Nothobranchius furzeri: one gene and its partners. The protein of the gene in region 2 purifies or fractionates together with the protein of the main gene of each other region. This does not show direct contact. Links are inferred from orthologs where the notes say so. Each region holds a gene or a part of one and is shown on either strand. Other genes may lie near its edges.

Region 1 (6,950 bases), on a different chromosome or scaffold from region 2:
GCATAAAGTTACAGACTTTGCACAAACGTTACCATAAACGGATCAAAAGTTAACTAAACAATCTAATAAAATGTGTAGGAACTCACTTTTTTCACAGATGACCCCTCCATAGCAGGATGGTGGAGGTCCACTGCTTCTGTCCACTATCCGTGTTTCTGTTTTATTCCATTGATGAAATCAGGTGTCCTCACTCATCATACTGTTGTTGACGGGGAACCTTGCAGACTCGGTGTACTGTAGCAGCAGTCATCAGTGGTTGTAGACAGTGAAATCTCATTATGCCATTCAAGATTACCTCACAACCCCCACAGGACACAGGATGCTAGATTAGTTAATTACCACAGACGCAAATACCACTTAAAACCAACGAAGCATGTAGATGACTGCTCTCCCAACAAACTCAGTCACCAACAAAAAAAGTGTTTGTGTGAATTATCTATTTGAGTACCGGTATTCCCTAAAAAATAAAGTTCTTTAAACTAGGATTTTTTCCCAAAAGGATGTCACTGTATATTTGTGAAAAATAAAAACTCCAACTTTATCACTGTTATTTTGAAATGCTCTCTCTCTCTCTCTCTCTCTCTCTCTCTCTCTCTCTCTCTCTCTCTCTCTCTCTCTCTCTCTCTCTCTCTCTCTCTCTCTCTCTCTCTCTCTCTCTCTCTATATATGTGTATACATACATATATATATGTATATATATATATATATATATATATATATATATATATATATATATATATATATATATATATATATATATATATAATTTATTTATGTGGTTTACTGGATTTAAATCAATCTGTGTTAGATTAAGATCACAGTTGCTCAGATTATTTACAGGCAATCATTTCTCAAGTTATTTTGACCAGCAATTGTGGGTTTATTTGTTAGTAACTTTTTATCAGATGTAAAGTATTCTGTGTTACGAAAAGTGCTCTACAAGTAATCTTTGATTTACTGAATGACAGAAAAATTACAAGAACAAATAAAAACATAATGAAACAAAATCACACACATTGATTTCTCACTGTTGAATTGTTTATATTTTTTAATACTAAAGAATAGAAAAGTGTCTCGTTTACAAGGAACAATTTAGTATTTTAATTTTGATTAGCCTTGCAAAGCTTTAATCCAAAACATTTAATCAATTAAACAAAACAAAACAACAACAAAAAAGAAAAATTGTTGGACTTTTCCCACAACAAACCACTAGATGGCGACAGTCTCCAAGCTGGCCATGTCCCATGATGCAACGCGTGCGCTTCCTTTTATATAGAGCCGGAAGTGTATAGCCATCATAGCATGAGTGGCTGGTTGTGTGCGTGTTGTTAGTTAGCGAGCGTCTGTGTGAGTGAATGTGGAGTATGCATGTTGTATGTGTGTATATTTTTAAAAACCTACACAGTGATCTTATTTGATCTGGTCTGAGTTTGGCTCTGCTCTGACTAGAAATGATAAAAAAAGCGCTCGCGAGCTTCTATGGGGGCGATGAGCAGCCGGCGACAAACACCTAATGGGGCCTCCACATTTCGTGCTGTGGTCAGAAGTGATGAATTGATCAGATATACTAGTTCTGGGTCGGCTTGAGGTTCGCCTTAAAGCTTTACCTGTAAGAACAATGAGTAAAGAGGCGATTCTGATCTCACCACAGCCGAAAAGAAGCCACGAGACCCGCATGTTAGGAAATGGTGAAACAAAAGTGGCTTTCATTTGTATAGATAAAGATGGATGGATGGATGATCTTTATTGACAGACTCTTATGTCCAGATTAAAAAATAAATAAATAAAACAAAACATTAAAAACAAATAAGATAAAAGCATAAACATCTAAATCTATTTAAAAAAACTTACTATAAAGATGTTCCACACAAGAGTAACCACACAAACACTTCAGCCAGTGTTTCCTTATACTGGACAAATAGCGACAAATGCTCACAGCAGGATCAGTGATTGCTAAAATTATACTGTTGGCAGAGCTATCCAGTCGTTCTCTAAAAGTGAACATTAGTTTTCTTAAAAGAGCTTTAAAGTACAAATGCCTGCTGTTACAAACATCTGACTGGCACTGCCCCCTCTGGGTATTTTGAGTATGATTCTTAAGGCATCATTGAATGCAACATGCAGCTTATTCATGCTGCTTTGATTGTAAGATCAAAATTACTGCCCAACAAAACCAAAAATACTGCTCAACCACAGTTGGGCTGTATAAAGCGGAGTACAATATGCTTTAAATAAAGCCACCTTAACTGGTGAACAAAAACTTACGTGCTATAGTATTATTGGCCTGTGCATACAGCTTACAGCACCATGGCATGTAGTCATGCAAATGCTAAAATTGGCCATTAGAGACAAATTCGGACTTTTTTATGAGCAAAAACTACACAAGCATAAAAAAAATTACACAAGCATATCCGTGTTCCTGTTTTACTTTCATACATGTTCTCGTGATAGTTAGCGTTAACATTTTTATGTACATGTGACCTCTTAAAAGCTCAGCAAAACGCGCGAGAATAAGCAACGTGATCGTAGCCGAACCGTAGCCGCGAAGAGAATTTTGTTTAGTCGCTATGGGCGAATCAAGTAAAAGACCGAGATTAAGTCAAATTAGCAGAAACACGCAGACTTCTGCGAGCAGAGCAAGCGTGTTCAGAGGTGGACACTCGGATATTGCCGGAGGCGTTGGTACATTTGTTGAGGGTTCCATCCTTCGCATCACGATGAGAAACTTCCTGTAAGTTGTAGTTCCTTAACTGTCAAGAGTTCTACCGGTAGCCAGCAAACATCACATTGTGCTCTTAGATAACATACAAGCTTATAATAGCACCATTTGTTGTTTTATAAAGTTTTAAACCTTTTGATCACGTAGTTTGCGCACAGAAGTGAACAGCTAGCATACAATTAGTGGTTTAACGGCTCAATTTTAGCTGTTTAAATATAGTGATACAATAAATACAATGTTTTGTGTAAAATTAGCTATATAAGATAACATTTTGCGCAGTGTGACATAACCGAAAACTCCTAAATGTGTTTTCTGTCCACTGACAGAACGTATGACTTCTCTGTGGTCCATCCGGGATCCAATCTGAACATGATTGTTGGAGCTAACGGGACTGGGAAGTCCAGCATTGTATGTGCCATCTGCCTGGGTCTGGCTGGAAAGACAGCAATTCTGGGCAGAGGAGACAAGGTACACAAACCACCTGCACTGGTCTACTTGATTTATTCTGAAAAAGACCATTTAAGAAAGCGATGGAGTCAAGATTTTTATTGGTTTGTTAAAATCACACTGGTAATAAAGACATATAAACATTTGCAGAAACTATTTAATTTCTGTTGTTTATGCACCACAGAGTCATGATTGCTACAAGCTTTTAATGGTTAAATAAATTGATTTAGATTATTTATGCAGGTTGGGCTCTATGTCAAACGTGGCTGCAAGAAAGGCTCTATTGAGATTGAACTGTAAGTTACTTTACATAGATTTTCCTCTATTACACTTTTTGTATTTTTAATCTAAATTCCAGATTGATGCTCTTGCATAACAAGTACCAAGCTAATGGTTGACCAGCCAGATAACATTAGACATGCTTGCATGAAATGATGTCTGTTTTTGCCTCTACAGGTACAAAAATGGAGGTAATGTGATAATTAACAGAGAGATCCATGTAGAGAACAATCAGTCACTTTGGATGCTGAATGGAAGACACTGCAGCCTGAAACAAGTAGAAGAAGAGGTCAGGACTCTGCAAATTCAAGTCAGCAACCTCTGCCAGTTCCTCCCTCAGGTAGGTTTTCTAGATGTGATCTAGCTCAGTGGCCTAGTGGCAGAGTGTCTGTTCTGGGACTGGGAGATCAGGGATTGGATTCCCGGTCGGGTCATACCAAAAACTTTAAAACTGGGACCCAGTACATCCCTGCTTGACACTCAGCTTTAAGAGGTTGGATTGGGGGTTAAACCACCAAATAGTTTCCAAGCGCAGCCACCGCTGCTGCTCACCACTCCCCTCCATGGGGATAGGTCAAATGTGCAGATGAATTTCACCAGTGTGTAATGATGACTATGTGACTTTAACTTTAGTGCTTCACTTGTGCAAAGTAAAACGTGTCAGAAATCTTCATTTTCTAACTTCTTCTCTGTTCTGTCACAGGAAAAAGTTGGAGAGTTTGCAAAAATGTCCCAAATTGAGTTGCTTGAGGCAACCGAGAAGTCGGTTGGACCACCAGAAATGTACGAGTACCACTGTGAGCTTAAAAACTTCCGCAGCAAAGAACGAGAACTGGAGGTGAAACTTTATTTTATTTGTGTAACAGTTTTTTTTTGGGAATAACTGTTTAGATAATCTAATTCCCGTTGAGATCTCAGCTATGTCAGCTGGATTGTTGTTACATGATAATTACATGTTTGCTGTTGTGAAAGATGCAACTCATCGTTTCGCTGCGGTTTTGGCGGGATGTTTGTCTGTAGAACGTCTTGAAGGAGAAGACGAGTTTCCTGGAAAAGGCCAAGCAGAGGAATGAGAGGAACAAGCTCGATGTCAACCGCTACTATGAAAAAAAGCGGCATCTTGACGTCATCGAGCTGCTGGAGAAGAAGAAACCGTGGGTGGTGAGTTATTCACATAAAGCACTCTGCACAAACTGTGGAAACAAATCCAGTTTGTAATCTGATTACCCTCTTTGGCTTTGATATCAGGAGTATGAAACCACTCGTAAGGAGCTGGAGGGTGTGAAGAAGGAGCGAGAAGAAGCCAAAAAGCAGCTTTTGACCCTGAAGCAAGCCCAGGCGCCCATGCTGAAGAAAATCCAGCAGATTGATGAAAAGCTGAAGCCCATTGAGGCAGAAATGAAAGCTAAGGTGACCGAAGGTGGCTTGCTGTCTAAATCTGTTACATGAACATTAAGTTAAACTAACCATGTGTGTTTCAGACTGCTGCTATCAAAGAAGCTTCTCAGAAGTGCAAGCAGAAACAAGATCAGCTGGATCGAAAACATAAAGAGGTGGTGGTGGTGGTGGGGTGGGGGGGGGGGGGGGTGTTGCTCAAAGAAGAGGAAAAAAAAAGTAACAATTAAATGTTTGAAATAACGTCATCCTTGTGGCTCATCTCTCCTCTGCAGATTGATGACATTAAACAGGCACTGAGGATGAAGCAGATTGAAGAGGAAGACCACCAGAAAAGAATCGTCAACACTAGACGGACCATCGAAGACCTGAAGGTGGAGCTGGACAAGCTCGGAGACCAACTAGACACCACCCTGCTGATTTCTGCTATTAGTGTGGAACTTAAGGAGATCCAGGAGAGGACAGCCAGGATTGAAGCGGAAAAGGCCGACCTGCGCAGGGAGAGGGACAACGTCATCGCAGAGTCCAGAAGTGAGTTTAAAACTAAACAGACTTTACATTTAATGATTAAAATAACAGACGGCATTGCTAGGATTTTATTATTTTAATGCCAGGCTTGCAGAAGAAGCTCAATGACATGAACAACCTGATGAACATGAAAGAAGAGAAGCTGCGGACACGCCACAGGGACACACACACCGCTCTCCTTTGGCTCAGAGAGAACAGACAGCTGTTCAGAGGAAACATTCATGAGCCCATGATGCTGGTGGTGAGTTCCATCACTGGAAATGTGTATTACTAGAAGTTTTAGTTGCTGTAAAATGCCGAAGTTTGATGTTTCAACCCACAAGTTTAGTCATAAATGTATTAAATGAAAAATAAAATCTCGTTTTCCTATAAGTAGATGTTAAAACGTAATGGTTACTTGGCCTTCGTTATCACAGATCAACGTAAAGGATCATCAGAATGCCAAGTATGTGGAGAACCACATCTCCTTCCACGACCTGCGAGCGTTTGTCTTCCAGAGGAAAGACGACATGGAGAAATTCTTGGTGGAGGTCAGGGCGGTTTGCATTCAGAACACTGCTCAGCTGAGAGACAGCATTTCTGAGTGTGAACATGTAACTGTTCATAGTAAGAATTTAAAATATTTTCTTCAGGTTCGTGACAAGATGAATCTGAAAGTCAACGCCATTTCTGCTCCGGAGGTGTCCTGTTCTGGACGTCCACCGTCAAGAAACATCGAGTCCATGAGGTGAGAGAGAGTGAAAGTGTGTTAATGATCAGCCAAGGTGGGGGCTGCTCCAGTGTGTTTTCCTCTCCATCTGCCACCCTTTTTATTTATCAGATACGGTTTTTTATTTTATCGTCTGCAGGCGTTTTGGGTTCTTCACCTACCTCCGTGAGATGTTCAATGCCCCCGATGAGGTGATGAGTTACCTGTGTTCCCAGTACAAAGTGCATGACGTTCCAGTCGGCAACGAGCAAACCAAAGCCTTGATTAATACAGTACGTTCTTTTTATTGCATGTTTCTGATTCTCCTTTACACCTAAAGACAATCAGAGAAGATTTTCCCTTTTAAAAGTGGATCATAGGAGCTTTTATTTTAACTTACAAACACAGCTGTTCATAACACCTACTTTGTGTTTTGTTTTTAGGTGATTCAGGAGCCTTACCTTAAGGTGTTGTATACGACAGATGAGAGGTACACTGTAAAAAGGTCCATCTATTCCAACAAGACCAGCACCAGTAACTCAGCTGTGCAAAAGTCTCAGTACCTCATCATCACCGTGGACGCTGAAGAGAGGCGACAGCTGGAGCAGCAGCTGAGGGTGAGACAGTCGTCGTCTTAGTTTTTTTTAAAATCAGTTTTAATCTCCTATGAAACACGAGGGACCCTGACAACGTTTAGGTGTGATATTATTTAGTCATTCTTGCATTTTCTGTTGCAACCAGGCCTGTGAGTCAAAACTGCAAGAAATCGATGAACGAATGAAGACCCTGCAGACGGAGTTTGCTGCACTGAATCGCCATGAAAACGAGCTGTTGTCGGAGAAGAAGCGTTTGTCTGAGTTAAAGGGAAAAAAGAAGCAACTGGAGCAGAAAATC
Region 2 (6,850 bases):
TGTAGTTTTTGTGTAATGTCATATTTTCTAAAATACTCACGTTAAAGTCATTAGAGCACAAAAAAATGCACTTAGAAAGCTTCCCATAGAAATATTATATAATATTTCATAAGTCCCAATTTTTTTACATGAATTTCATCCTTGGCTTCAGCCCTAACAAAATATAATAAAATATGTGTGTGTTTCTCAGATTTAACCCCTTCATTGCTAGGTTTATTAGCAAAACCCAAAGTTTGAAAACTGTACAAAAAATGAAAAAATCAAATCATTTTTTGTGTGTTATGTCCAGATTACCTTTTTTGTGGGTAAGTTGTCACAGCCTTGGAGTGTCACAAATAGGCATAAAAATATTTTTTGCTCACTTTGTAGTTTTTGTGTAATGTCACATTTTCTAAAATACTCACGTTAAAGTCATTAGAGCACAAAAAAATGCACTTACAAAGATGACCAGTTGAACACTTTATTAAAGCACACGAACAAAGAAAAAGTGTGTGTGTGTGTGTGTGTGTGTGTGTGTGTGTGTGTGTGTGTGTGTGTGTGTGTGTGTGTGTGTGTGTGTGTGTGTGTGTGTGTGTGTGAGAGAGAGAGAGAGAGAGAGAGAGAGAGAGAGAGAGAGAAAGAGAGAGAAACACAGAGGGGAGTGAGCTAACAGCTGCAGGCTGAGCACACAACTGTTGAGTGCTCCTTGCACACAGCCTGTCCACATGCATGGCAAAAGCGTGCATGCACGCTCCTCTTCCCTCTGCAAAGGTGGCATCTTTTCTTTGTCTGCTCCTGGGCTGGACCTGGCTCCACTTGCTGCTGCACCTCCAACAGAGCTGCAGCGCTGCTGGACCGCGGCAAGCGAGTGCGCCTTGCCTGGGCTGGTCTCACCATGGAGGTCCCAAGCTCCTGCAAGAACAGCCTTCGACGGATGCTCCTCTTCTGTTGGTTCCAGGCCGGTTCCACAGACAGCCACAGGACCAGGGCATTGTAGGCGCTCACATCTAACATGTTGCAGAAGAGCGACATGGGCCAACGTCTGGTCTTGCGGCGGCAGCTGTATGTTGCAACGAGCTGGAATAAAAATAAATGAATAAATAAATTACATATGCAATTAGGTTGGTGAATTATAATAAAACAAAATAAAATAAATAAATTACCTTGTCCAAGTTGTCAACTGCCCCTTTGCAGCGGTTGTAATCGATGATTACGGTCGGCTTCTGCTGCGGTCCCTCCTGGATCTGAACCTGATGGTGTTTGGTGCTGAGGAGCAGAACGTTCCGCCGGCGCTTTGGAATGTAGCTCACCGCGGTGGCGGTGGAGGTGAAGCCGAACAGGGAGGACAGAACCGCTCTGCTTTTCATCTGGAGCAGCTGTGGGGGCAACTCTGGCTTGTTGCGCCTAACTGTTCCCACAAGACAGATTTTTTTTTAGCAGCTCCTCTCCAAGAACCAGCGAGGTGAAAAAATTGTCCGTGGTGACAGTGCGGCCGCTCAGACCCTCCGTGAGTTCCAGCACCACCCGCTTCCCTTGCCCCCTTTCTGCCGGGGCGTCTCGAGTCGTCTTGCCCAGATAGGGAATAATCCCCCAGGCATAAGAAGTGGCCACATCGCACACCACCTACAGCTTGATGCCATATTTTGCCGGTTTTGAGGGCATGTACTGCTTGAAGTTGCAGCGACCTCTGAATCCGACGAGCTGTTCATCAACGCAGACATCTTCACCGGGGTTGTAGGCGAGAGGGAGCCGGGCCGCCCAGAGGTCCCACACTTCCCGCAGGGGAGCGAGCTTGTCCTGCTGCACCAACCGGCGGGCTGCCCTGGTCAAGCGGTCATCAAAGCGCAATGTTGCAGTCAGCATGTGGAACCTTCCCAAACTCATCGTGGCTCTGAATATCGGCCTCCCCGTTTCCTCCCCCCAGAGGCTGGCAGATGATTCCCCACGGGAACGGTGCACACCAGCGAGGATGAGCAACCCAAACAATGCCCGGAGTTCCACGCGGTCAACGTCTGTCCAATCGTCATATTTTCTTCTTCCCTCTATATTGGTGTATTTTATTATTACATCTAGGATTGTTGTAGTCAAAAAAAAATCGAAGCTGTCCTCAATAGTTTGGATGTAGCTGACAGCGAGGCGGGTGATCCCACAATGGCGGACGTCTGGAGCCCGAAAGGGGATCCTGGTGTCGGGTGTCGGGGACCAGGCGATCCCGCTCTTTGATTGCCACAAAGGATGGTCCCATCTCTCCTCTGCAGCAACCACCTCCTCATCTGAACCTTCTTCCATTTCTTCCCCTGAATCAGGCCCTGGGGTAAAGGCCTGATCTTCAGCCTCTTCATCCGAACAAGAGCTGTCATCCGTGGATGAGGATGAGGCTGACTCTCCCTCTTCCTCAATCTGCTGAAACACCTCCAGGGCTTCATTCACATTGAATCTTCTTCTCATGGTTGCGGTTCAAAGAAATGAATCCTGATCTGAGTCTCATATATGTACTTTTAGTCAATTGGTGCACCTGTGTAAGCTGCCCCTACTGAATGTAAACAAAATTCGATTCTGCAGGAATTTGTTTTGAAAAACAAATGTATGCCTTTGAAGTTTTTCAGCCTTCATCTTAGCTTTCATCCATGCAAATGCTTTGTACTTATTGAAATAACATTTTGCAAAAGTAAAATTGTGAATGAGTATCTGAAATTTAGCAGAAAATCCTTTGATTTTTGATATATAGCATGCCTTTGATGAATATTCATGAAGTCAACAGAGTGTGAGAACCTGTGCCCCCCCCCCCCCCCCCCTACACTCCCATGGCCCACACCTGCTCAACCACTCCAGATAATGATCACAGATCTGTCCTTTGAAGATCTGTAAAGTGCTTTGATACCTACATACACGCATGCCTGAACAATCACACACAAAGGAACACATGTCAAAATGCTATTTTGCAGAATAAGCTAATTTTGTACATTCAGTCAGGCTTATTTTTTGAAAGAACACTGAAAAAGCACAATTACCAAAAATTCAGAACACACACATGCAAACTATTGTATGGCATCTCTAAATAACACACAAACCATTTTTTTGCAAAATATGTATTATAATGGGCGGTCAGAGGTAAAGAAATACAGCTAAATCATTCAGTTTAAATGCTGGGTCAGCCATTGCCCTGCTATATATGGAGAAAGTATGCCATGTAGTGAAAAACAGTAAAAACTGCTTCTTACATTTGTGATGAGACTGTAAACACGGGCACAATCATAATTTTTTAAAATTATGCCAATATTTATGCTAATTAAAAATATATGATTTACATGAAAGTCAATGGCACAAAAAAATGCTTCAATGTGCTTAACTGTACAAAATGATTTCCACGTTTTAATAAAGTAGGTTGAATATTTTTTCAAACTTTTTTTTGTAATTCCTTCCAAAATACACATCCTCCATAAAAATTAGATAAATTGCATTAACATAGCCAAAGTTATTCACAAAAATACACGTGTCAGCACAAAAAAATGCTCTAATGTGAGGTAAGGGTTAAATATGTTTACGATTTTCATTTATGTTAAGTTACTTGAAAAACGAGAAAAACTGATTTTTGTAATTGTTTCTCTCAGGGCTTTTATCATCTCTGGTGTGAGTTTAAAATATAAGTGTGTTAGCACTGTGTTGATTATCCCTAATATGAATAAATGTTTAATTATTCAATGTTTCTCTTTTTTAACACGCAATTGAAGTTATGCTCTTCATGGATAAATCGTGATAAAATCGAAATCGTGATAAAATATTGGAAAAATCGTGATATTCTATTTTTGCCATATCGCCCAGCCCTACACGAGATTCTTAAATCCCCCGAGATGTTCCGACACCTTCCTCATCGAGAGATCACAACCACCATGAGGAATCACACCGTTGCACTTCTCGAAAGAAACTGGTGGTAAACAAAGCTGTTCGGTCACATGAACTGATGTAAATCCTATATAACATGGCAACGTTGAATTTTATTTTGAAAATAACCGGGGATTTTACACTGAAACTGTGTGGTTTCCTGTCTCGCACTATGTGAACTGCGGAAATTGACGTGTCCCAGAAGCGGCTCGCGGAAAAAAATAGAACTTGGTCTTATCTTTAGCGGCGCTGCGCGGCATGCCGCGTCACGGCTGGTATGAAACTCTCCATAGACTATAATGGGATTCTATTTGAAGCGGTGCCACTTCGCTGCCGTTCCGTTGATGCTTGCAGCGTGAAAGTGGCTTTAGACTGGTAGTGACAGGAGGAGCTGAGCAGCTGCAGTGATGCTGTGTGGGAAGTTCTGCATCAACTAGAGCCAAAAACAATGTGACTCTTGCTACAGCAGGGTTTCCCCCAGTGCTTTATAAGCCTGGCCACCCGCCAGGCTAAGCGTCATACCCCGACCCCCTCCCCGACCCCACCGTGTCTGCTGACACGAACGGTGCAACGAAACTAGAGCCCTCCATCAGCTGATACTGGTGAGAAACAGCAGGGGAACGTGTGCAGCCTCCCACTCCCACTCCCATTTTCTGGGGGAAACCCTGTACAGAGTATATTTTGATACTGACTAATGTCTGAATCTCTACTTTTACTTTTAAAAACCCAGCGAACAACATAATACAACAGTGTGCTGAGCCTACCTTGAAAAGGAAACAGGAAACCTGAGTGGGACAGGGTGAGTTACAGTTGTACGATTCCTGAAACAGCCCAATGTTTAAATGAAGTCTCAGCTGAGCAGGGCTGGACCTGGCAGGAAGTGGAAAAACAAAAGTCAACACATAACGGCACCTTTTGGTTAGCTAGTTCAGCAGTCAGCTGTGATATTTCCTGTGTGTAATCGTAGCTTACCAAAGAAGTGTCTTCTGTGCCGTGCCCTGAGGATTCACCATGCACTGCCTCAACTGCAGTGTTTGCTCATTGAAGATTTGGCCAAATTTCTCCAAGTTGAACACCATTTCTCCTGGAGGGACTTCTCTGATTGCAGCGGACATCAGTGAGTAGCGCTGAAGGAACTCCCTGAGAAACAAACCAAATAAATTAACAAAGCAGGCACAAAAAACTTCTAATGTTTAGGTAGCAGTGTTAAGTGTAAACATGATCTTAGCTTTCCTTACTGTTGCTCACTGGAGACATCCTGGTTCTCTTCAGACTCCTCAAATTCAGCCAATTTCAACAGACCTCCGTTGCAGGCAGTTAGAAGCTCCGCCTCGATCTCTTTGGCTCTGATGAATTTAGATCAAAAACCAATTTAGTAGCAAGGGCTACAGTTTAGAACCACTGTTCAGTTTCCTCAAATGTACCTTTTGTTGTCATCAAATTCCTTCAACATCTGGTCAAGACTGTTCTTGTAGACCACTGCTTTAGTGGAGGATGGCTGCACCTGCCAAGATAACAATAAAGGTAACAACTACGAATCCAGAACAGCTCTGACTTTTTAACAAAGAGGATTCACGTGGAACGTACGGTTTTTGACTGGGAGCTGCGAAGCCCGGGTGTGCTCGGCTCGGAGAAGGCTTCTTTCTCCGGTGTATCTGGAACCTTGGTAACGCGCTCCATAATCTCCTGGAAGGAAACCAGCTCTTCCTCTTCGCTGCCATCTGAGCTCTGGGTTTCTTTGATATCATATGTAATGCTTAAGTCCAGGTCTAGCTCTACATCAGCGGGATCCTCTTCATTCACCTCCTTTTTACTCCTTTCGCTCGCCTGTCTCTCCAGTGACAGAGACCTTCTGCGAGGAGGTGACGGTGTTAGTTTAGTGGCTGGTGTGTCCAAAGCACGCAAACTCGGACTGGCCGAGGCTGATGGTGATTGTTTGTGATGAATTTTAACACTCTCCCTTACAGCCTCAACTGTAAGTTGTCTTTCTGAACACGGGCCAGGGCTGTTTTTAGGACACATGAAAGGTTTAAATTTTTCTAGTTTAATGCGCTTTAAACTCACAGTTGGCAACGAGAACAGCAGGTTATGCTCTGAGGAGGACACTGCCTGTGGAAGTCCTGTTACTTTGGAATGGGAAGTCATGTGACCAGAGGATGTAGTTACTGGAGGCACACAGCCAGCAGGAGGGCTGGAACATGTTCCTAAGGTTTGTGAGTTAATGTTTTTCTCAACCATCTTGGTCTTTGCAGTCTTACACAAGGAGTTGACCACGTAAACCATAGGATCAGGTGTGAAAAGCTCATTTATGTCACCAGGGACAGCAGGTCCCCGTACACGACTTGGTTTACTACGCTCTTCTGATGACGATCTGGGAGTGCTACCGTGAGATTTTCTGATTTCTCCAGTGTGATGACCCTTGGTAGAACTAGAGTAGTGGCTGGCTGGCCCAACTTGACGTGATCCACCACTATCCTCCTGAGGACATTTGGAAGAACTCGACTTTCCACTTTTATGTTTTTTCTCGTTTTCCTTTTTGGCCATTTCTTGACTGGGCCTTGAAGATGCACACAGCTTGGGTAGTTTCCCCTGAGCGGTGGTCGAATCCTCTTGCCCAGCTGATGGAGATTTCTTTGGACAATGTTTAGGTGACGGTGTGAGGTGTGCCTGACTGGGTTTCAGTTTGGATAATAACTTTGAGCTTGTTGACTGTCCACAAGTCGGCTTAGAAACCAGAAGACCACCCATCTTTCTGGGTGATGATAATTCCAGGACCGACGGATTATTTAATGACAGCTTAAAAAACTTTGACGAGATTGGTGGTTTGCCAAGAGTTAGCTTGACTGTTGGATTTCTGCCCGAGTTTGCATCCTGAAGACATGGTTTCTTAGCATCCTCAGAACAGGGCTCAAACTCTTTGTGTCTCTTCTGAGAAGACCGGTTCAGATCCATGGCTGAAGACAGAAAAAGGTAGAAAATATTCAGTTTT
Region 3 (6,950 bases), on a different chromosome or scaffold from region 2:
TAAAAAAACTCACCAGGGAGGCGTCCAGGAGACATTCCCCTAACCAGATGCTCGAGCCATCATAACTGGGCTACCCTCGATGTGGAGAAGCTGTTTTGGTGTCTATAACTGTATCTACGTTCCTCTTTCAGTCACTGCTGTTGTTTTACCTGCCTGTTAAATCTAATTTGCTGTTAAGCACTTTGCACAACACCAAACTGTATGAAAAGTTTTTTATGGATAATGTTCAATAGACTGTGTATATTAAATACAGCATATTTCATAGTGAACAACATTTGAAACTTTAGAAAAAGGCAGATATCCAACCAGCTATTGAAGCTCTGTGAGAATAAATTCCAACATTATTATTTCTTTAAATTATAATACATCCAGTTAACACTTTTGTAGTGTACCATAAGGCCTTTGAACCTCACGTGAACTGCAAACGGAAAAATAATTAGCCAGTGGTAACGCCTTCAGCGCCTATCAGGAAAACAAATACTGAGCACCAAATATGTCTGCTTGAGAAAGTCGTTTATCAGCAGCTGGTCTCACATTTAGCTGACTCAGATCTGTTTGAGGTTTTCCAATCAGGGTTCAGGTCTGGCCATAGCACAGAGTCAGCTCTACTGAGGGTTTTAAATGATATATATCTATCACTAGATCAGGGTACATCTGTGGTGCTTCTGTTGTTAGACCTGACGGCAGCCTTCGACACAGTTGACCACGCAATTCTACTCGATTGCTTGGAACGATGGGTTGGGATCAAAGGGTCAGCTCTGGATTGGTTTAGATCGTATCTCCACAACAGGACATTCTGTGTTAAACTGGGTGATGTTTTTTTCTTCTTGGGAGGGGCTCCGCTGGGGGGTCCCGCAGGGATCAATCCTTGGTCCTCTTTTGTTTACCATTTATCTGCTTCCTCTGGGGTCAATCATTCGTAAACATGGCCTATCATTACATCTCAATGCTGACGATTGCCAGATTTACTCTCCATTGGGCCAGGAGAAAGGACACTCCATCCAGTCTTTTTGTCCTGTCTTAACAAGGTGAAGTCTTTGCTAATGGCCAACTATCTGCATCTGAATGAGGGAAGGACAGAGCTCATTGTTTTTCACCCCAACAGCAGGAATGTGGGTCGTTATGTTGATCTTGGCCCTCTTTCTCCCTACTCAAAACCAGTTGTCACCAGTTTGGGGGTGAAAGTTGATGCTGGACTTAAATTTGATGCTCACATCAACTCTGTGATCCGGTCCAGTTTCTTTCACCTGAGACGCCTTGCAAAAATCAAGCCAATGCTGTCAAGAGCCCACCTGGAGCGGGTACTGCATGCATTTGTAATTTCTAGGCTTGATTACTGCAACTCTCTCTATGCAGGGTTGTGTCAGACATCACTGCGTTGCCTACAAGTTGTGCAGAACAGCGCAGCCAGGTTCCTGACTGGGACCAGGAAACGGGACCACATCAGTCCGGTTCTGGCCTCCCTGCACTGGCTTCCGGTTTGTTATCGTTCACACTTCAAACTCCTCGTCTTTGTCTACAATTTCTTCCAGAGTAATGCTCCCCCCCTATCTAGCCACACTCCTGAACAGATATTCCCCATCACGCGCTCTGCGCTCCTCTGACCAAGGCCTGCTCACTGTCCCTCGTTCGAGGTGTCATACTCGCGGGGACCGGGCATTCTCAGTCCTAGCACCGTCACTCTGGAACCAGTTGCCACCCTCAGTTAGGCTGTCCCCATCTCTGCCAGTCTTTAAGAGTCGCCTAAAACCCCACCTCCTCCGCTTGGCGTTTCCTGAACGTGTTTGAATTTGGCCATCTTTAATGTTGATTTTATTTCCCTGTTTTCATTGGTTCACTCTATCCCTTGTTTTACCCATTTGTCTTCTACTAGAATGTTTTACCTTTTTTTGTAATTTGAACTGCTTTTATTTTCGATTTATTCACCATATTTAACTTTGTCATGTACTATGTTCAGCGCCTTGGGCTACCTGACAGGGTTGCGGAAGGCGCTATATAAATAAAGCTTTGATTGATTGATGTTATTAAATTAAAGCTATAGATTCATCATTTTCTGCAGAAAGGTGTGTCATGGGAACTGTTAAGAGACTTCAGTAGATACACAGCCACCATGTTGTTGTTTTTTTATGCAAAAACACTGATTAAGAGCAAGAGTCACATTTTAATTTAGTTTCTTAACCAACAGATTGCAAACTGTCTCGAGTGACAGAAACTAAGAAGCTATTGGTGTATAAAAATCAACTTTTGCAAAATTCGTCACTTTGTTTCCAGTGCATCTGACATTTCCCCCAAAAATCTACAGTAATCTCGACTCACCGAACCACCGATGTATTTCCCACCTAGCTGGTTGATCCCTTTGAGCAAAATTCTCTTCTTTTCACGATTTTTGATCCCAGAGATCTGAAAAATGTGTCTGCAGACCTCCATCACAAAGGTGCGCTAAAACAGAGGATAGAATTAGGTTAAAGTGAAAAAGATCAAGTTACAGATTAAGTAGGCTATTAACTTCCTTAAAATTGTGATGCAGTAATTCTTGTTTGACAGGATGACTTAAGACTGTCTTTTATTATCAGTTGACTGAGCTGAACTCTTGGTTTGATAATACATTGAGGATTCCAACTTTCATTTATAAGATCATATTTATTCAGAAGATATGTAATATAATCACCCCATATGCCACAAACTATTACAATACAGGAGAAATTAACCGTTTGGTTGATTTTATATAGATTTTTTTTTCTAATGATAACAAGCAAACCCAGCTGGCAGCACAGATACCCCCCCCCCCGTTACTGTCAACAAGCTGTTGCTGCAGTAGGTAGGTGTGACTGGGCCATGTACTGGAACTCACACATTGTGATTTGCCTTGCACTTCAATAAACATGAACTATTTTGATTATCAAATGACTGGTAAGGTGCACTGTAGTTGCTGAGATACTTTCAAAATAAATATTACATAGCAGTGCACTATTTAGTTATATGTGGCCACAACTGATTCGTGCTTAGAAACACGTGTTATCCTAATACTTTCCTGTTGTGTATCTCAACAAATACTAAAGATCTCAATTTGTAAACAGAAAATACTCCACTTAGCAACTGCTTAGCTGTGTCATAACGTGTTGATGCTACTTCCATATCTTTGTGTGCTTTTTAGTTCGAATATTTCCCGTTTAGAAGCAAAAATCCCACTGATTTAGTGATCAGGTACCTTTTATGCCGAAGACGACTCCCATTTACATCCAGGCGCGCCAAAAAAACACGTCAGCGAATGTCATCAATACAAGAAAAAGAAAGCTTGCATCGGTGTTTGGTTTCATATCTCCGCTTTTGACTTAATATATATGCTCAACTTTACCAACGAATGCACACTAAGGCATGTCCTGTTATTGTAAATAAAATGCAGATTTCCGTTTAAAGCTGTCCGTATGAAAACAGCTCCAGGATTCTACTATCTAATATGAAAAAAGGTGATTTGATCGACTATCAACCTGCGTTTTGTAGCTTTTAGGTAAATAAGTAGTCTAATATTTAAAAAATTGCACGTAAACATACTAAGGCAAAGATTTTTAAAAATATTTACTTTCGTATTGATTAAATTAATGTTTAATTTAGTCCATTCGGAATCATTTCTCCCCATTTTCTTTGCTCTGGTACAATCCAACAACCGGAACTAGTGCAACTACTTCCGGGTGGTTGTTACGGACGCTTTCTAGCTACGGAACAAACAAAAACACTGTACTCTGGCTGTATAACGGGTATATTTACTCAGCCTAATCGTAAAATTAATTATTTTTTTCCCCCAGAAACGACTAAAGCTGACAGAACGCGGTTGTTTGTTTCCCAGTGAAGAGTCCCATTTAATGACAACGAGATTTACGCGTCACAGTGATGAATATGTTCATTTTATCATTTTATTTTACAAACTACTGATGAAGATCAACAAAGACATGCTGGAACTGACGATAGCCTAATTTTCTCTGGGTGTTTAAATGGATTAACACGGAATGGATTAGCAGGGAACTCGTGAAAGGTAAAACAATGCATTAGGTTCTGTTTTGACTGTTCTTCCACACACACCGCGTCATGTTTAAGTATCAGATGTATCAGAAATTTGCTACAGTTTGTGAATGAAGCAGACATGTTAGAATTACATGAGTAATTTCTTGGGCTCTTTAAATCAGAGTGCTGGCCACATTTGTGTTCATTAATCAACTTGTATTAATAAAAAGTGTTTTTCATATTCACTTGTAAATTCATTTTATACTACTAATTAAATGCTGTTTTACTTAGACTCTTTTTTAAATTTGCAACCTTTTAATACTTTTCCGATAATTTTGTGTTGGCTTATCACGTTTGTCAGGGTCCCTGAAAATCAAGTTGAAATAAGCAATCAACTTTCTCATTGGCATTCTTGGGGTGGGTGGATGGATGGATGAATAAATGGATAGATAGATCTGGGAAAAAGACCATAACTATGTTATAGAGGATGGCTAGCCTCATTAATAAATGCCAGCTGCTTTTTTAGAATCTTCCTCTCTGCAACCACCACAACAGACTCTACCTCTAACCATGGAGCCAGCACATGTGATCAGTCTCTCCTTTGTTTTTTATATCCCTCTCTTTGGTGCTTTAGAAATTAGATGGTGAAATTCTAGGATTTAAAAAGCCTGACAGATCTACTTCACACTGTCACTTAACATTCATGGACTCACCCATCTTGACCCATCTAGGCTGTTTTTGTTTTAGCATCCAGCAAACAGCAGAAAATGTCTCGACTAGTGCATTAGCAACTCCACCGCTCAGCAGAATTTATTCAGGCTTGTGCTGTTTGTGGAGATAACACATCCATGTCACAGAGCAAATGGAGTCAGTGGTAGAGTCGCTTTGCTGTTATCCAATCCGAGCCAAGATGACCAAATATCAGGAAGTAAGACTCCAAATCCTACCGTGTTAATCTCTCCTCTTGTGTGGCATTCTGCTAGTTCCTGAAACAAATGCATCTCAAAATAAAAATGCATTAAACAGTTATTTTTGCATTTTATATCAATGCCAGCGCTTCCCTCTCTCCAGCCACTTGGGCCAGCTCTTTCGGGGGAATCCCATCATTCCCTGGCCACCCGAGAAACATAGTCCCTTCAGCGTGTCTTGGGTCATCCTTAGTTTTCCTCCCACTTGGACGTGCCCAGAATACCTCACCAGGGAGGTGTCCAGGAAGCATCTTAATCAGATGCCTGAGCCACCTCAGCTGGCTCCTCTTCTTGTGGAGGAGCAGCTGATCTACTTCGAGCCCCTCCCGGATGACCGAGCTTCTCTCCCTATCTCTAAGGGAGAGCCCATGCAGCCACCCTGTAGAGAAAACTCATTTTGGCTGCTTTTATCCGTAATCTCGTTCTTTCGGTCGCTACCCAAAGCTTATGACCATAGGTGAGGGTAGGATTGTAGATCGACTGATAAATAAAGAGCTACGCCTTCCAGCTCAGCTCTCTCTGCATGACAGACCAGTACAACACCAGCATCACTGCAGATGCAGCACCAATCTGCCTGCCGATGTTGCTCTCCATCTTTCCCTCACTCATGAACAAGACCCCGAGATACTTCGTGCTTGACCTGGAGAAGTCATTCTACCCTTTTCTGACTCCAGACCATGGTCTCAGCCAAGTGCTGAGGAGAGGGAAGTCTGGGCCCCTCTGTTTAGGCTGCTGCTCCCACAACCCGACTCCAGATAAGCATACGAAAATTAATGGATGGATGGATCATTGCCATTGGTTTATTGAACATACACTCCGTGTAGATAGTTGAACTGTTACAATTCTAATGTATACACATGTTTTATTTTGATGTAGTCTCAGTTAATCACGTCTGCATTTGTTACAGCAATCCAGGCTTGTTTCAGCTCAATGAATCAACAGTTTCATGCAAGATATTTAAAAAAAATGATATTGCAAAGAAAATAATGACCAGCAGCATGTTGTGAATTTCTGCACACGGACATCAACACCGGGAGAAACATCAATCAATCAATCAAATTTATTTATAAAGCGCTTTTCAAACAAAGTGCTACTCAAATTGCTTTACAAAATGACCCCAGATTCCCATAACAGGTTAAAAACATTAACAGACATATGCAAGCACACGCACACACACACACACACACACACACACACACAGACTCACACACACACACACACACACACACACACACACACACACACACACACACGCACGCACGCACGCACGCACACACACACACACACACACACACACACACACACACACACACACACACACACACACAAGTAAAAATTATATCCTAAATCTTCCACCTGACATGATCAAGAAGAAAATCTGTTAATGACAATGTGAAGTAGCTAGGCAGCTTGGTAGAACAGCAGTAGTGAATCCCAGCCCTTAATTCCCTGGGGAACACATGAGATAGTTTTCAGCACTGTTTTGATCATAGGAAATGCACCTGTTTAATTTAGGATGTTTTTGTAACAGGGCTGTTAAGGTACTCCCTTTAAAATAATGTTGACTTTAGCTTGACACACTCTAAGTGGTTTTAAAGCTGCAGCCTGGGGGATATTCTGCTAAATATTTCAGGACAAACTCATTACTGTAAATGGGGCTCTGTGTTAGCCTAGCTGGGGAAGACAGGCAGCAGCAAGAGAGATAATGCAATGATGTGTGTGTATGTGTTTCTGCAAAGCTGGGTTTCTCCTGCTCTAAAAGTGGTGCGGCTGATGTCTTTGGCAGGCAGCGCCTCAGTGCCTGGCCCAGTTGTCCCTGTTGCAAGTCTTTGAAACACGCAGGGGCTCGTCTAACATCTGCTTTCTAAAGAGCTAATGACAAGACAATGGAGACTAGATGATTTAAAGTACTGCACTAATGAGGCCCCGTGTGCTTTCTGGTGAATCCTAACCCCCGTGCACTCACATACACACACTCATGCT

What was found.
Region 1: the proteins of slf2 (region 2) and smc5 purify together in Homo sapiens (affinity purification with mass spectrometry; 3 studies listed by BioGRID and IntAct, with this or other methods). This does not show direct contact. The link is inferred for Nothobranchius furzeri from reciprocal best matches to the Homo sapiens genes SLF2 and SMC5.
Region 3: the proteins of slf2 (region 2) and slf1 purify together in Homo sapiens (co-immunoprecipitation; 3 studies listed by BioGRID and IntAct, with this or other methods). This does not show direct contact. The link is inferred for Nothobranchius furzeri from reciprocal best matches to the Homo sapiens genes SLF2 and SLF1.

What each region holds. Positions count from the first base shown.
Region 1 is NC_091755.1:27,651,085-27,658,034, forward strand, and holds the start of smc5 (structural maintenance of chromosomes protein 5), read left to right. Parts: upstream 1-2,365; 5' UTR 2,366-2,567; coding exon 2,568-2,731; intron 2,732-3,045; coding exon 3,046-3,187; intron 3,188-3,409; coding exon 3,410-3,462; intron 3,463-3,622; coding exon 3,623-3,785; intron 3,786-4,148; coding exon 4,149-4,283; intron 4,284-4,465; coding exon 4,466-4,606; intron 4,607-4,693; coding exon 4,694-4,855; intron 4,856-4,926; coding exon 4,927-4,998; intron 4,999-5,115; coding exon 5,116-5,371; intron 5,372-5,454; coding exon 5,455-5,609; intron 5,610-5,784; coding exon 5,785-5,898; intron 5,899-6,000; coding exon 6,001-6,095; intron 6,096-6,216; coding exon 6,217-6,349; intron 6,350-6,499; coding exon 6,500-6,673; intron 6,674-6,797; coding exon 6,798-6,950. UniProt on the Homo sapiens protein: Core component of the SMC5-SMC6 complex, a complex involved in repair of DNA double-strand breaks by homologous recombination.
Region 2 is NC_091752.1:20,503,823-20,510,672, forward strand, and holds part of slf2 (SMC5-SMC6 complex localization factor protein 2), read right to left. Parts: intron 6,816-6,850; coding exon 5,449-6,815; intron 5,366-5,448; coding exon 5,286-5,365; intron 5,208-5,285; coding exon 5,100-5,207; intron 5,002-5,099; coding exon 4,834-5,001; intron 4,732-4,833; coding exon 4,626-4,731; intron 1,478-4,625; exon of another isoform or gene 1,347-1,477; coding exon of another isoform or gene 1,143-1,346; intron 1,057-1,142; coding exon of another isoform or gene 646-1,056; exon of another isoform or gene 520-645; intron 1-519. Other genes in the region: piggyBac transposable element-derived protein 4-like, read right to left, coding at 646-1,056, 1,143-1,346. UniProt on the Homo sapiens protein: Plays a role in the DNA damage response (DDR) pathway by regulating postreplication repair of UV-damaged DNA and genomic stability maintenance.
Region 3 is NC_091757.1:41,839,482-41,846,431, forward strand, and holds the start of slf1 (SMC5-SMC6 complex localization factor protein 1), read right to left. Parts: upstream 3,614-6,950; 5' UTR 3,209-3,613; intron 2,440-3,208; 5' UTR 2,428-2,439; coding exon 2,317-2,427; intron 1-2,316. UniProt on the Homo sapiens protein: Plays a role in the DNA damage response (DDR) pathway by regulating postreplication repair of UV-damaged DNA and genomic stability maintenance.